Caenorhabditis elegans: one gene and its partner. The protein of the gene in region 1 interacts with the protein of each later gene in a pairwise test. Each region holds a gene or a part of one and is shown in the gene's direction. Other genes may lie near its edges.

Region 1 (6,284 bases):
ATTCCTGGAATTACAGGGCCGTAGACTTGGGGAGCGCCTTCTTCTGCTTCGTCATCCACTTCATTCTGAAACAAAAATAGCATCAGCTGGATGTAAAGTAAAATATCAATCACACCTCTTTTATTTGACCTTTCATGAGAAATGCAGGAAGCTGAGGGCCGTATGACATATCTAAACTGAAATGGAGTTATTCGAAATATTTTATATAAATTTCTGTCGGATATTTATGCATGTTGTCTAAAAACATAGTTTGGAAGAATCGAACAAAATTAATTTTAAAAAAAATTTAAATAAGAAAATCAGCACATTCGAGGACTAACATTTGTGACAAGCCTACGCGCTCCATTGAACATGAAACTTTGACTTTTTCCAGGTGTTCCTAAATTGATGATGAATCCCAAATATTTTCTTGAATATTTTCTTAATATGTTTATTAATATATTAAAATTGAAAATGTATTAAAATTATTGAGGTAAATCTATAAAATCAGGAAAAATTCTATCATTGTTCGGTGGCCTAGAAATTGGGGTCTAGGTTTCTCATGACCGAACTTGACGAATCCACGTTCTTTCAAAGCTTGTTCTTGTTTTTATGCTTCGTAATCGATTTTCTGAAATACATGTTTTGAAACGCATATCTTTCGTTTGTCATACATTGGAAACTTTTATTTAAACGATTATTCAAACCCACGTAAAATGAATAACTTGTTTTTACAGAGAATTAAACACGAATGTCATGGTTGTCTAAAGTGTCCGATATTGCCGGAGCGGCCGAAAATCTTTTGAATAAACTTGATGAAAAGGCAAATCTTGAAACTAATGTTTCTATGTACAGAATAAATGTTACAGACTGGAGACGCAATTCAAAATGCCAGAGATTCCGCTCCTCGAACACGTAAATCAAGTACCGCCAGCGTCTCAGCAACGATTATTTCGATGCCAGAACATGTTATCACTGAAGATTTCGGCAGACCGGCTCCATCTCTTCCCTCGAGAGCTCAGAGTGATTATACCGGAGCCGGATGGAGAGGAGGAAGAAATTATGAACAGTTCGTTATTCTGATTTTCTTCACATGTGTCATTTAAAATTTCAGGGGTAGTTCATCGACTCATCAGCCAGGAGTAACAGCAGCATCTGAAAGTTGGACGATGGTTTTAAACTCGAAAGAAGTAAAAAATGCAAAACCAGATGAAGATACACGAAGTCAGAGGAGTGTTGGAGGCCGTAGTGTTGCTAGTATTCGAACTACCTGTATGTTTTGACGATTCTTACGAAACTTTTGAATTTTGATTTTTCAGCAGAATTTGCGGGAAACGATTCGAGTCCCAATTTTAAATCTCAATTATTTGCAAAGGATTCTCAAATATCAGTATTAAAAACGAAACTTTCTGAAGTGGAAAGAAAATTTGAAAAACGTAGTCAAGATTATTACGAGATGAAAGCTGAAAAGGAAATGTTAGAGAAGAGAGTTGAAAACCAAAAAGTATCAAGTCATGAAATGGATAGTCTTCAAGAATTGAAATTAGCCAGGTAATTATATTAACATCTTGACGTGTTGTTTTGCATTTAATTCAAGTTTTCTAGACAAAAAGCACAAGATCAAAAAGAGAAAGCAGTGGAGGAGTGTAACATGCATAAGAGAAAAATAGTTGGTTTGGAAGAAGAAATTCGTGCGATGGTCGAACAGTTGAGGCTGGCAAAGTTCAATCTGAATGAGAACAAAAAAGAATTTGATGAGTACAAGAACAAGGCGCAGAAAATTTTGACAGCTAAAGAGAAACTGGTGGAGTCGCTGAAGTCAGAGGTTTGAGAGATTTGACCGAGGATTGATATTAAAATTCAATTCAGCAAGGAATCGGATCCAGTGATCGTCCTGTTCATCTTCTTCAAGCTGAAGTTGAAGAGATCAGAGTTGAAAGAGACCTTACAAAAGCCGATTTAGAATCTGCACAACTTCAAGTTTATACCTTGAGATCTGATATGGAAGAATTGGAAGCTCAGATAAGGTAAGGTTTTTCCTTAAATTTTTCACATTTCGGATTTATGACGAAAATTCAAATTCTCTCCCATACTCGATGGTCGAGCTTTTAATTAATAGCTTTTTAATTTTTTAATTCAAAAAAAAGAGGCTTTTTTGAGAAATTCTTAGTACTGTTCCAATTTCCACTTTTAAGAGATCTCCAATCTCAATTGTCGGACCAAAAACGAACTCATCTCGAGGAGAAGCAGACATGGGATAGCACAATTGGTCTTCTAAACGAGAAAGTGGAATGTTCAAGAATTGAAAATGAGTTCACAAAACAAGAAATGAAAAGACAAGGTGATCAGCATCAATCTAAAATGCTCGAGAAGGAAAATGAGTTGAGAAAGACGATTAGCGACTTGCGTTCACGAATGCGAGATGAACAAACGAAGCAGGAAGATGATGGATCATCACAACTAACTGATCTTTTACTGCAGAAGCAACAACAATTGGAAGATGTTTTAAGAAATAATCAAGTGTTGAATGTGAGATTGGAAAGACTTCAGGTGAGAAACTATCAATTTATGAATATCAAAAGTTGTAATATTCTGTTTTTAGAAAGCTACAAATCGTGAAACATCGATTGCTGTGGACTCGAATTCATCTCCAATGCACACGTCATCATCTCATCCACTTCTATCAAATATCAATAATCCACAAACTCGAAATGCTCTTCACACTGTAGATTCGACGGCATTCAAATTGTTATCAATGCTCCGCGGACATCCATCAGCCCGCCTCTTTTTTGTTTTGTACTTTATCATAATGCATTTATGGCTTTTCTTCATTGTTCTCACGTATACCCCAGAGATTCATTGATTTAATCACGGTTGTGTTCCTTATTATGTATGTTTGTATAATATATTGGGATTAACATATACTGCATGGTTAGTTTTTACTTGGTTTAGTGTTTCTTTTCTTTTTTCGATTATTTTCCAGTGTGATACCCGCTGTTACTTTTCCCGTACCCCATTTTCGCTTTTTTTTTGTCCTAAAATAATTCATTCTCTTCAAAATACAATAATGACTGGTCTAGATCCGAACTATGTGAATAAAAATAAACATCAGCTAATGTAGGATTTTCCCTGTTTGTCTATAAAATTTTGCGGTTTTCATATAAATTTCCGCCTTCAATACATCTGAGATTATCGATTTTGCTGTCATTCTTGTCAATTTCATCCTCCATTTTCCATTTATTTGATTTCAAAACAAATAGCAGTGACGAATGTCGCCAATGATGAGGATGAAGAGACGCAGAGTGATAGGGGAAACTGTTTGAGTCATACTTCGATTTCTGTTTTCTACAACTCTTCAGTTCGTTTTCTTGCGATAAAAGTAGCAATGATTTCATTCATTTTTCCTTTTCTTGCGAAATTTTAGAATAATTATTGTCGGGAAAGAGTTTTAATATTTATTTAATCGTACTTTAGAAGTTTATACGAAATTTGTTTATTTTTAATTAATTTTTCGACATTTCAGAAATGTCTGCGAATCTCCCACCAGCATTCAAACCAATTGCTCACTACATAAAGATTGCTAACGAGAATGCAAGCCGCGATCCGGTCATTTATTACTGGTGTAAGTTATTTTTCAAATATTTTGACCAAACTATTCATTTGAACCGAATATCTCATTTTCCCCGCTTTTTTGTTTGAGCTTTTATCTAACTATTTGTAAATACTAACAGGGTTGTGCGGAAATTTTATTAAATACCAAGTAACGAAAATCTTTAAAAATTGTGAACTTTATCATCGCACAGCCCTGCTCTGTATGGCACTTGGTCCTGTGGAGACAACATTCGATGAAATATCGTGGAAACTACTTCAAACATCGATTCGCCTGGAAAAAGATCATATCAATGATAGAGATTCACTCCGAGAATATATTGATGAACCTGGTGGAGTTGTGAATAATTGTCAAAGAGCACAAAATATATCAATGGAAATTGAACAGAAAAATGTTTCGTGTGAAAAGCTGAGAGAAAAAATTGCAAAGATTAATCAGAAGATACTTATTGGAAAAGGAAAGCTTTCAGAAGTGAACGAAGAACTTTCCAAAAAGCAAAATTTTGAGGAGAGTTTGAAGCAGAAAATTGAAATTATGGAGCTACAAATAAATAAAAATCAGTCCAAAAAGGATAAAGAAGTGAAATCAATCAATGTATTGATCAGATTAGTTGCATATAGAAAGCTCACATTGATCAAAGAAGTCATGGACCTGTTCAAAGTGAAGATCGATGGAGGGCCAGCATCTGAAGCAATTACTACTAAAAACTGTCAATGTCAGCTAATCGATACGATCCGTGGACTTCATATTCCTCAAATCACTCACATTTTCAATCACTCGGAGGCTCCAACTCTAACCGCACTTCAAAATCTGACTCATCTCTTCAATGTGATTTGTAAAGTTCTACACTTTGCTCCAAAATATCCCATTCTGACAAATCTTCAAATCATCAACCCAATTGATCAGAAAAGTTCAATATTCACGGAGAAATGTTGGAAGAAGAAGGCAGATCGTGAGAAACTGATTGAGGGAATGTCCTGGTTGAGTAAAAATATCAGTCATCTTCGTGAAAGTTGTGGAATTCCGACAATGGCGACTGACAGAATTCTCGGAACACTTGAAGAATGGATTCGATTAGTTATTCGCAAGGAAACTGTTTTCGAGAGACCCATTAATAGTATCTTTAGTCCCGCAAACTTATTGATTGATTATCAAATTCCAAACATTTCCTACCATAGTTAGGTTATTCAGTTATTTCCTCTGTGAAGTGATCCCCGGAAGTCTGATTTATTCCATCAATCCTTTTTTACATTCCCAGTGTCCGTATGCTTTTGCAAATAAAAAACATTGTATAATTTCCTAATCTGAATTTATTCATTTTCTAAACATTTAATCCTCTACAGGTCTCTTCTATGCTGTTCAAACTGCCATGAAGCTTGATAAATCAACTGTCGAAGCACGTCAATATCTGACTGGACTTCTCACAACTCTTGAAGCGATTAAAACTCAATTGGCTGACAATGATGCTATTAAAAATGAGGTGAGATTTTAATTTTCAAATGACTGTATAAAAAATTTTTTCAGACAATTGCTCAAGCACACATTGAAAGTTTTGCTGAAAAGCTCTTCAACTTTGCCGACAAGAAAGAGAAAACAGGAAATGTTAGTTGATTTAAATTTGTTTTCTGAATCAGAAATATTTCGATTCAGTAGAAATCGAATTTTGATGTTTTCAAAAATGCTAATTTTAATAAGTAAACGAAAAAAATAATTTTTTTCAAAAACATGAGAAATGGCTAAAATATAATGAAAATGTTCCCCTCAAAAATCAAAGATTTTCGATCAGGGTGTCGGCGAAAAATTTTTCCATTTTTCCGTTTTTTTAGAGCAAAACCGAATTTTTTTTTCAGAAAATGCTTCTGAAAACCTTTAAAAATCGTTCTCTTTCAAAAAAAATTTAGTATTTATATTCCGGTTTTCCAACAACAGAAATTTCCCATTTTTCCAGGATGGAAAACATTAAAGCTTTTTTTTCGATTTATCAGTTTCTGAGCCAAATTTTAAAAAACTAAAAAATTTTGTTATTCAGCTATTCAGAAAAACCGGCAAAATCAGAATCAGAATTGAACTATTTCAGGTCGATAAATCCGTAGTCCACGCATTCTACACTGCAGGACATGTCATGGATATTCTTTCTCTGTTTGGAGAGGTAAGTAGATCTGAGTATTTATACTAATTAATTTATACCAAAAAACAAAAATAATACATTTCTTATTTTACCCAACTAAATTAAAAATTTTAAGAAGTCGGTTTTGTTTTTGGTTTTTTGGTTCGAAAAAATAAAAAAACAATAGTTCTGGTAGAAATATATTGAAACAAAGTTTTTTTGCAGATTGATGAGCCATTCCTTTCATCAAAGAAATATGCTAAATGGAAGAGCACACAGATTTTCACATGTTTGAGAGATGGAACACCTTATGTACCAAGTAGTCAAGAGACAGAAGATGCGGACGATGGTAGGCTTCGAGATTCTTCATAGAATTTTCAAGAAAAGCATTTTGAACTTTTAGATTTGTCACAGTTTGGAGCACAATTCCAACCAAATGCTCCATCTTCATCAGGGCCACAGGAGCACAGTTATAATCAACCACCGGCTCCTGGATTTGGATTTGGAGGTGGAATTCCGAATGTCCCATCAGGTTAGAAAATATTTGAAACAGAAAAAAAAATACACAGCTTAAAATTGAATAACTCG
Region 2 (7,383 bases), on another chromosome or scaffold:
TCGAATTTGATTTGGAACAAAATAATAAGCACAAAAGGAGCTGGTCAGGTTAAGATTACTGTATGAGGTGATTTACGTACTTCCAAAAATAAACGAGTAATTGAAATTAATTCTCAGATTTCAGTTGACATTATATGTGTTTCGACCAAAAGCACGTTTTTACAATAAATTTTTATTAAGCCGATTCTGCTGCTTCTTTTGTAAATTTTTAAGGCTCATGAAGTTTTGCCAAAAAAAACTTCTGAGCTTCTTTCTTGAAAACGTAACAATAATTTGAAAACATATAAAAAATCACATATGAAAAATCATTTGAAATAAATTATAATACATTATAATGACGTTTAGATTTCCAAAATTTAAGGTTATTCAAGCAAAGACTGGTAATCAGTAAATCTTAGGCTTTCTTTTTCGCCCAAAAAGTGACAAAAAGTGAGAAAAAGAACCGATCGTTTTTTTGTTGTAGTGTTTGTTCTTTTTTGTTCAGATGAGTTAATAGTTTTTTTTCAGTTTTATCTAAATACATACGCAATTATATTTGCCGACCTAATCGATATCGATCGCGAATTTAAAACTTTCTCCCTAACGTACCTTCACTGACATCGCGTCGAGACCCTTTGCATATCAATGTGAGTGCGGCTTTAAAACGTGCTACTGTTCCGGCGGCGTGTTGTTCATTTTCTTCTTGTTCTTGTTTTTCTTTTTCTTTTCTCTCATGATTTTTCCCGATTTTTTGTTATTTAGTGGCTTTCAATAATCCCAACTTCTTCAATTTTATAGTTTTTAACGTAAAAATATCAGATTTCAGTCGTTTCCTACTGTGTTTTCTTTATTTCACAGTGAAATTTAAACAATACATCTTTTGAATACTGAAACCAGCTGTTTTCTCAGTTTTTCTTTTCGTCACACTGATCGCTGGAAGACAAACACGAATTGTTCATCACACATTTTTTTTTCTCCCTTTTCGGCGAAAAAACCGAAAGAAAAAGTTTTCCGCACCCTTGTGGGCAAAACGATGAGCTCGCTCGTTTCGCAGGAGAAAAGAGCGCCGAAGGTATTTACTTTTTGGATGTCTAGCTTTCGCTTTCTGTGATAAAGATCTCACCTATAGCGCAATATTTCAATCATTTCCGGCGATCAGTTCAGAAATGACGTATTTTCATATTTCCCTCTCTCCGTCTCTTCTGTCTTCCTAGTCACTCTCTCTCATTAGAATAACGGTCGCTCTCCTCTGACCTTCTTGCCCTCACAACAAACGCACACAAATATCCTTTTCTTTTGCCTGTATTCAACAGAACCGATTATGCTCTGCGTCTCTTCAATCAACTATGTCTCTCATGTGCCTTTTCATTCTGCGTATCTTCTCTCTAATGCACTCCCGTGCTCACCTTTTCCGTCCCTCCATTCCTGTACTCACATCGTTGACACGCCCGAACGGTCGAACGGTCCGTATGAGAAATTGGTTCAGCCAGCTTCCTTCTTTCTACCTTTTTTTTGTTTATTTTGGATAAGGAACTCTGAATTTTAATTTTTACTTAAAATATTTAAACGGCTTTCAATTTACTTTTAAGTTATTGACAAAGAAAAACAATCATTGAGCACATTTCCAATAGAAAGTGCACTCTTCTTGTTCCCACTTCAAACAATTGAAATGTGCGGGAGCAAAAGCTCCAATTCGCTTCTAGTTTTCTCCTTGTAGCGAACAAAACAATGATGTTCTTTTCATTTGGACAAACTTGATTTGTAATTTTATATAATCGATGCAATTAAAAAAAATTTTCTCTACCGCGAACCTATTTTAAAAACTCAAAATAAAATCCTGAATTAAAAGAACCGGAACATTTTTACTTTTTCCTTTTCGTTTCCTGATGACCATTCGAGTTTCGTTAGTGACAAGAGAAAGAATTTGTCGAAATTGAGTTTTCTCCTCTTCCTTCCACTCTTTTGTGCTTGTTCTGCTTCCGAAGCAGCCAATTCTCGACTGAATAGGCCACTTTCGGAATTATTTCAAGTGGACCTCTTCCTTCCTCTATTCATCATGCACTCTTCTACTTCTGCCCCCATTTTCGCTCAATTGTCAACGATTTGATCATCAGAAAAATAATTTTTCGCAACTTCACTTTTTACGGACCATAACTAGCAACCCACATTTACCGGTGTTCTTCTCCTATTTTTGGTCGTTAATCAACCGGTGATCCATTTCAAGGTTGATGTCCCCGATCTCTTTTTCAATGTCTGTGTATCTCTCATTCTACACCGAAAGCCGTTTTGGCATTGTGCCAAGTCTCTTTTTGAAGATATGTGGTACGAGACTGTGAGAAATAAGAAAAGTTTGTTGATAATAAACGAAGCGAATAGAGAGAGGCACAGAGGGACGACCCCAATATCTAAGAGGCCGTGTTTACTTTGGCTCGTCGTCATCTTTCGAACCAACACATGCATACGCTCCCTTGCGCGCGCGCTCCTCTGATCATTCAATCGCAGGTCCTCCTTCTCTTCGTTATTTTTGTTACGGCTCGTTCTTTTTTACGTTTTTAGCATGTGAGGCGTTTTATCAGCAAGTTTGAAGTTTCAGCAAAATTTCATATGTAAGTTATTAACACCTTATCACTGATTAAACGGTATTATTACGAAATGATAATAATTCGTAATTAGATACAGAAAACTATAATAACACGGCTACTTGATAATTTTCATTGTTATGTTTTTGGACTCTCTCCTGATTTTTCTGTTTCAATGGTTCAATTCCTCTTTGATCATTTTTAATGGCGGTGAAATATTATTTTTGTTCTATAATATCTTCAAACCACCGTGTTAATGTGAAAAATTAAAAGAAGTTTGTTTTTATTTTGAAAAATTGAAAATTGTCATAAATTTCACGAAAAAAAACGGTCGAAATTCTCATTTTGGAAATTCAAGCATGGAATTTAGCCAAAATTTAAAAATTCAATTTTTCGTTGTTCTTCGATTTTATTCGTTCTTCTTCTGTGGCATTTCTGAATTTTAGACAATTTTGGATTTTTTAAAGAAAAGTTCAGTATTACGATTCACGTTTGCTCTTTGTCATTTTCTCTCAATCCTTTCAAACAAAATTATACTAATCTTCCCTCCATTTTCAGATCTCAGTTCTCAACGAGATGGTCACGACCAGTAGCGGAGGGGGTATAGGGTACCCGGCAAACAACGGTGTCACACAGGTGAGAATCGAGATTAATTATTTTTCAAATTGTTACAAAAAGGGATTGATCTATTTTTGTAAATCTTATATTCACGTGATTCATGAAGTACGTGAACTGTGACGAAATCATAATTTGTTTAAAAAAAAATCTAAAAATAAAAATTTCAGTGTCGATAAAAATTTTTCAAAAAATATTTAAGGTCTACTGTTAGATTAGCAGATGTTTGACGATTATCCATTTTTCATATTCCAGGTGTCTCTGATTCACTCGTCGGATTCTGTACGAACTGTTTCAACTGCCCCAATATACCGTCCGACGTCATCAATGGCATCTACGATGGCTCATAAATCTTCGACGGCTCCGTTCATCTCCGCAAATCAACGAGTTAGTTTTTTTTGTTTGAAATGAAAAAATGCGGAACAAAATTTTCAAGAAACGGAAATGCTATTAAGATTTTATTAGAAAAAATTGAAAAAGAAAACTCGATAACGGAAATTCTTCATATAATTCAATTGGTTTCTCCCTTCATCTCAACAATCCGTTTGATGGATGATGGCTAGGTTCTGATAATTTGTAGTTTTTTTGCGGGGAGAGTAACGGAATTCTTTGAATTTTTGCATCTCACGCAATTGTATCATCACCTTCCCAAAAAAAGATAGTCAGAAAAGGAGAGAACACCTCAATAGCGTATCTTAGCGTAGAAAAAAGTCATCTAATTTTGATTTGAAGTGTCACGTTTTGTTTTTTTTTTTCTGCCGGGCCATAAGTCAGGTAGGCAGACATCAACGCATCACAATCGCCATAAAATAATGATAAAAATATTATATTTTAAGATAGGTCCTGGTTTGAATTGGTTAAGATTGTCGAAGATCAGAAACGGATAGGAATGCATCAGAGATTATTAGTCTCGCGTGATACCTTCAGATGGATCAAAATGACTTGCTTTTTTTAGTTGATCGAGATTGATTCGGAAAAATTTATACCAATCAAGTAAATTTTTGATGGAAATAAAATCAGTAAATTTTTGATTCAGTTCCAGAATACTCGGAATATGCCTACAAACTGAAATTTCCCAAAAGAAAAATAGAAAAAATTAAGAAAGATCAAAAATTCCAATTTTCAAAAACGCTCTTTTTCAATTTTTTCCCTATTTTAATTTCCTCCAAAAATAAAACTGCGATCAATCAGCATTTCGCTCCGCCCACTTTTTTACCAATCAGACGAAGACGCTGATTGGTTCGAAACTGGGTGTGGCTTCGAGATATGTAAATTCACACTTTTCAAAGTTGGAATTTTTGATCTTTAGTAATTTTTTCTTTTTTCTTTCGTGGTATTTCAGTAAATTGGAATTTTCAGAGTTTTCTAAAAATGTATCCCCATTTTTCGAAATCCTCCTTTAAGATTATCAAAAACATTTTCATAAAATAGTTTAGTCAATATAAAAATTCAAATTCCTGATGATAAATAGTCTTTCCATAGGTTCACGACCACTTTTAGTTTAAAAATTTCTCTTTTTTATCTTTCGGTACCTAATCACCACATATCATTGATAGTAGTGAGTGCTCTTCGTGGATCGGTCAATTGAAAGAAGATGCCAATTGGCGTTCTCCCCTTCTTACTTTTGCCCTCCACGAAATTGAAACAATTTTCTCATCATCTTCATTTTCTTCTTCTCTCGTAACAGAAAGTCTGACCTTTGAAGAGAGACACAGAAAGATAGACGAAGTATTCGTGTGCGTACGCCGTACGCGCCTTGCCGATTAACCTCGATTTATCATTCAAGCTTTCCCCTATATTGGATTCTCCGACTTATTTCTTCATTTTAATTCTCTTCTATTTTTATTTTCTTGACCCACTGGCCAAAAGCTCTTCGTGAATATTAAAAAGTAAAAAAAAGTTCCTCCTCTAGCGTACACGAATATTTTTTGTTGATAATAGACAACAACTGTTTTATTTTTGTTTAATTATTTTATCAAAAAAAATCTGTGGCTGTGAAGGAAAGATCGCCAAAAAAAAACTGGTCAGTCGATTAATTTTCGATTATAAATTTTGTTTTTTTTTTTCACTTTTCACTCACTTCCTTCTCATCGTTGCATAGTCTTGCGCACGTCGGCAACGCGTATTACAACTAAATTAATTGCGCAATTGTGTGAGTGAACGCGTGTGTGAGCGTACGCTTCTCTCGGCTTCTTCTCTTTCAATTCCATCATCTTTCTATGTTGTCGTCGTAGAGTCGCATAAAGTTATAGATGTTATTTTTTTTCTTGTAGTGTAATCGAGACTGTCGTCAAGTCATTATGCATAATGATATGTATTACGTGTTAAGCGTTATTATTCTACAATTGTAAAGTATTTTTTCATCTTCGCGAGGCTGTCGGTGACTGTTCAATGATTGTTGTTGTAGTATTTTATGACAGAAGATACTATTCTATGGTGGCAGCCACTACAAATAATGCCATACTCTTTAAAATATTCTTGAAAAAAAACTGATTAGAAATTTTGAGAATCGCTTCATTTAAGTAAAACATTTTTTTTTGATCGGTCAAAATGGGATACATGTTTGGTTCGCCGAAATTTTTCTTTACTCTCTTCCGGTGTTTAATGTTCATTTCTCTTCCGGTGGCCCGAAAGAGTTCTAAAGCTAAAATGTGACATGTGATATCATCATTTTGAAAACACTTGTTTTTTTTTATCTTCCGTTCGCCAACACGACTTTTTTCTTATTACCACATCTGATCCAATTGAAAGGGAAACCGATTTAAGTAATATAAAAGTCATCTCTTGCATAGGTTTGAAGTGTTGAAGTTTTGACATTTACTTTTTCATTCTGTAACTTTTCGTCGACCAGTTGAATCCTTTTTCTATTCCGTTAAATACATTCAGCTTAGTTTCATGCTTTTCAATACACCAACAACCATCAACACAATCGTTGTCCGAATCGCCTCAGTTTGGTATGCGATTTAATGCGAATTGTCGGTGACTGTCGTAGAAATTAAAATCAAAACAGATTTTCTTCTATTATTTTATGTTTGCTAAATTCCTCAATAGTTTGTTCAAAAGCGTCTTTCGTTTGTTTTGAATTAATTTTTAATTCACTCTTTCTTCTACTTCATTATTAATTTTGTGCGAGAAGTTCGTCAGATCATCATGAGGGCGCATAGACACAACATTTACGACATGTTTCACTTTCGGGATTTTCAATTGAACAGAACACCACCAGCACGAAGACAACGACAACGATCCACACTTTGTTCCAAAATACACGTTCCTTCCCATCGTAGGGCCTCCTGCTGAGCTTTTTATCCTATCAAAGAAGCTTCTTGTCGAAAAGGAGAATATATTTGAAATATTAATCTTTGTTTGAAATTATCAAATTGATAATTTAAATAGGTTCATGTTTCATAGACTAATTCAAATTTCATTCTATTTCTCTTTTTGCCTCATTTTTACTCTGAAACATTACCTAGTGTACAGTTACCAATAACTGATAGACTCTCTAAATCCAATAATTATCTCACGGGCTCTTTCTGATTCAGGGATATTAATTTCTGCACCTGTCAAATTCGTATTCCAAATAGATCCTAGAATTTAACAAATTTAGCCATTTTATATATATAATATTCTTGCTCTTGATCATTAACACTCGATTTCCACTGAAAGATCAGATCATGACGCTCAACTATCTGTGCTTGATTCCCGTACTTCCGATACTTTTCGCAATATAGATCTCGATTTCTCGAGTGCTTCCTATAGTGAGCCGTGTGCCGTCTCCTACTGTTTTCTTATTGTTTTGATTGTCTCGACAACAAGCCGCGAGAGACCACGTGCGGCCGCTGCCCACCAATAGAAACGATATTTATGTCTCGTAGAGTCTTGCCGACTGTTTTTTACGCTTTCCGTGCGCGCGTCGGCAAGCTCCGATGGCGGCACTGTAGAACCTCCAACTCACCGTCATTACCCACACTGTGCTCTGCACCGTTCACACTCATCAATAATTATTGATGTTGAAGTTAACTCATACATCCATTTAATTCGATTTGATTTCTTCAAGTTTACATAAGGCATAGTTTCCACAGTTTTACAATATAATTGTTAGTTGTAAACTATTGGTTAAATAGCTCACACCCTTTTCATCTTCCTGTTGGAATATAATAGAGGTTTATGGGACGGGACGCCGTTTCTCGTCTTCGTCCCGAAACAAACTACT

What was found.
Region 2: the proteins of T23G11.7 (region 1) and ape-1 interact in a two-hybrid assay, tested with the Caenorhabditis elegans proteins (one large-scale study listed by BioGRID).

What each region holds. Positions count from the first base shown.
Region 1 is NC_003279.8:7,675,952-7,682,235, forward strand, and holds T23G11.7 (HAUS6_N domain-containing protein), read left to right. Parts: upstream 1-3,496; 5' UTR 3,497-3,504; coding exon 3,505-3,601; intron 3,602-3,782; coding exon 3,783-4,771; 3' UTR 4,772-4,882; downstream 4,883-6,284. Other genes in the region: F26A3.7 (uncharacterized protein), read right to left, coding at 1-65, 116-169; golg-5 (Golgin-84), read left to right, coding at 731-802, 849-1,048, 1,094-1,251, 1,299-1,530, 1,585-1,804, 1,849-2,006, 2,175-2,529, 2,582-2,842.
Region 2 is NC_003283.11:11,672,828-11,680,210, forward strand, and holds the start of ape-1 (Apoptotic enhancer 1 protein), read left to right. Parts: upstream 1-3,110; 5' UTR 3,111-3,134; coding exon 3,135-3,194; intron 3,195-3,428; coding exon 3,429-3,560; intron 3,561-5,167; exon of another isoform or gene 5,168-5,372; intron 5,373-6,885; exon of another isoform or gene 6,886-7,093; intron 7,094-7,297; exon of another isoform or gene 7,298-7,383. UniProt on the Caenorhabditis elegans protein: Negetively regulates apoptosis via its interaction with cep-1.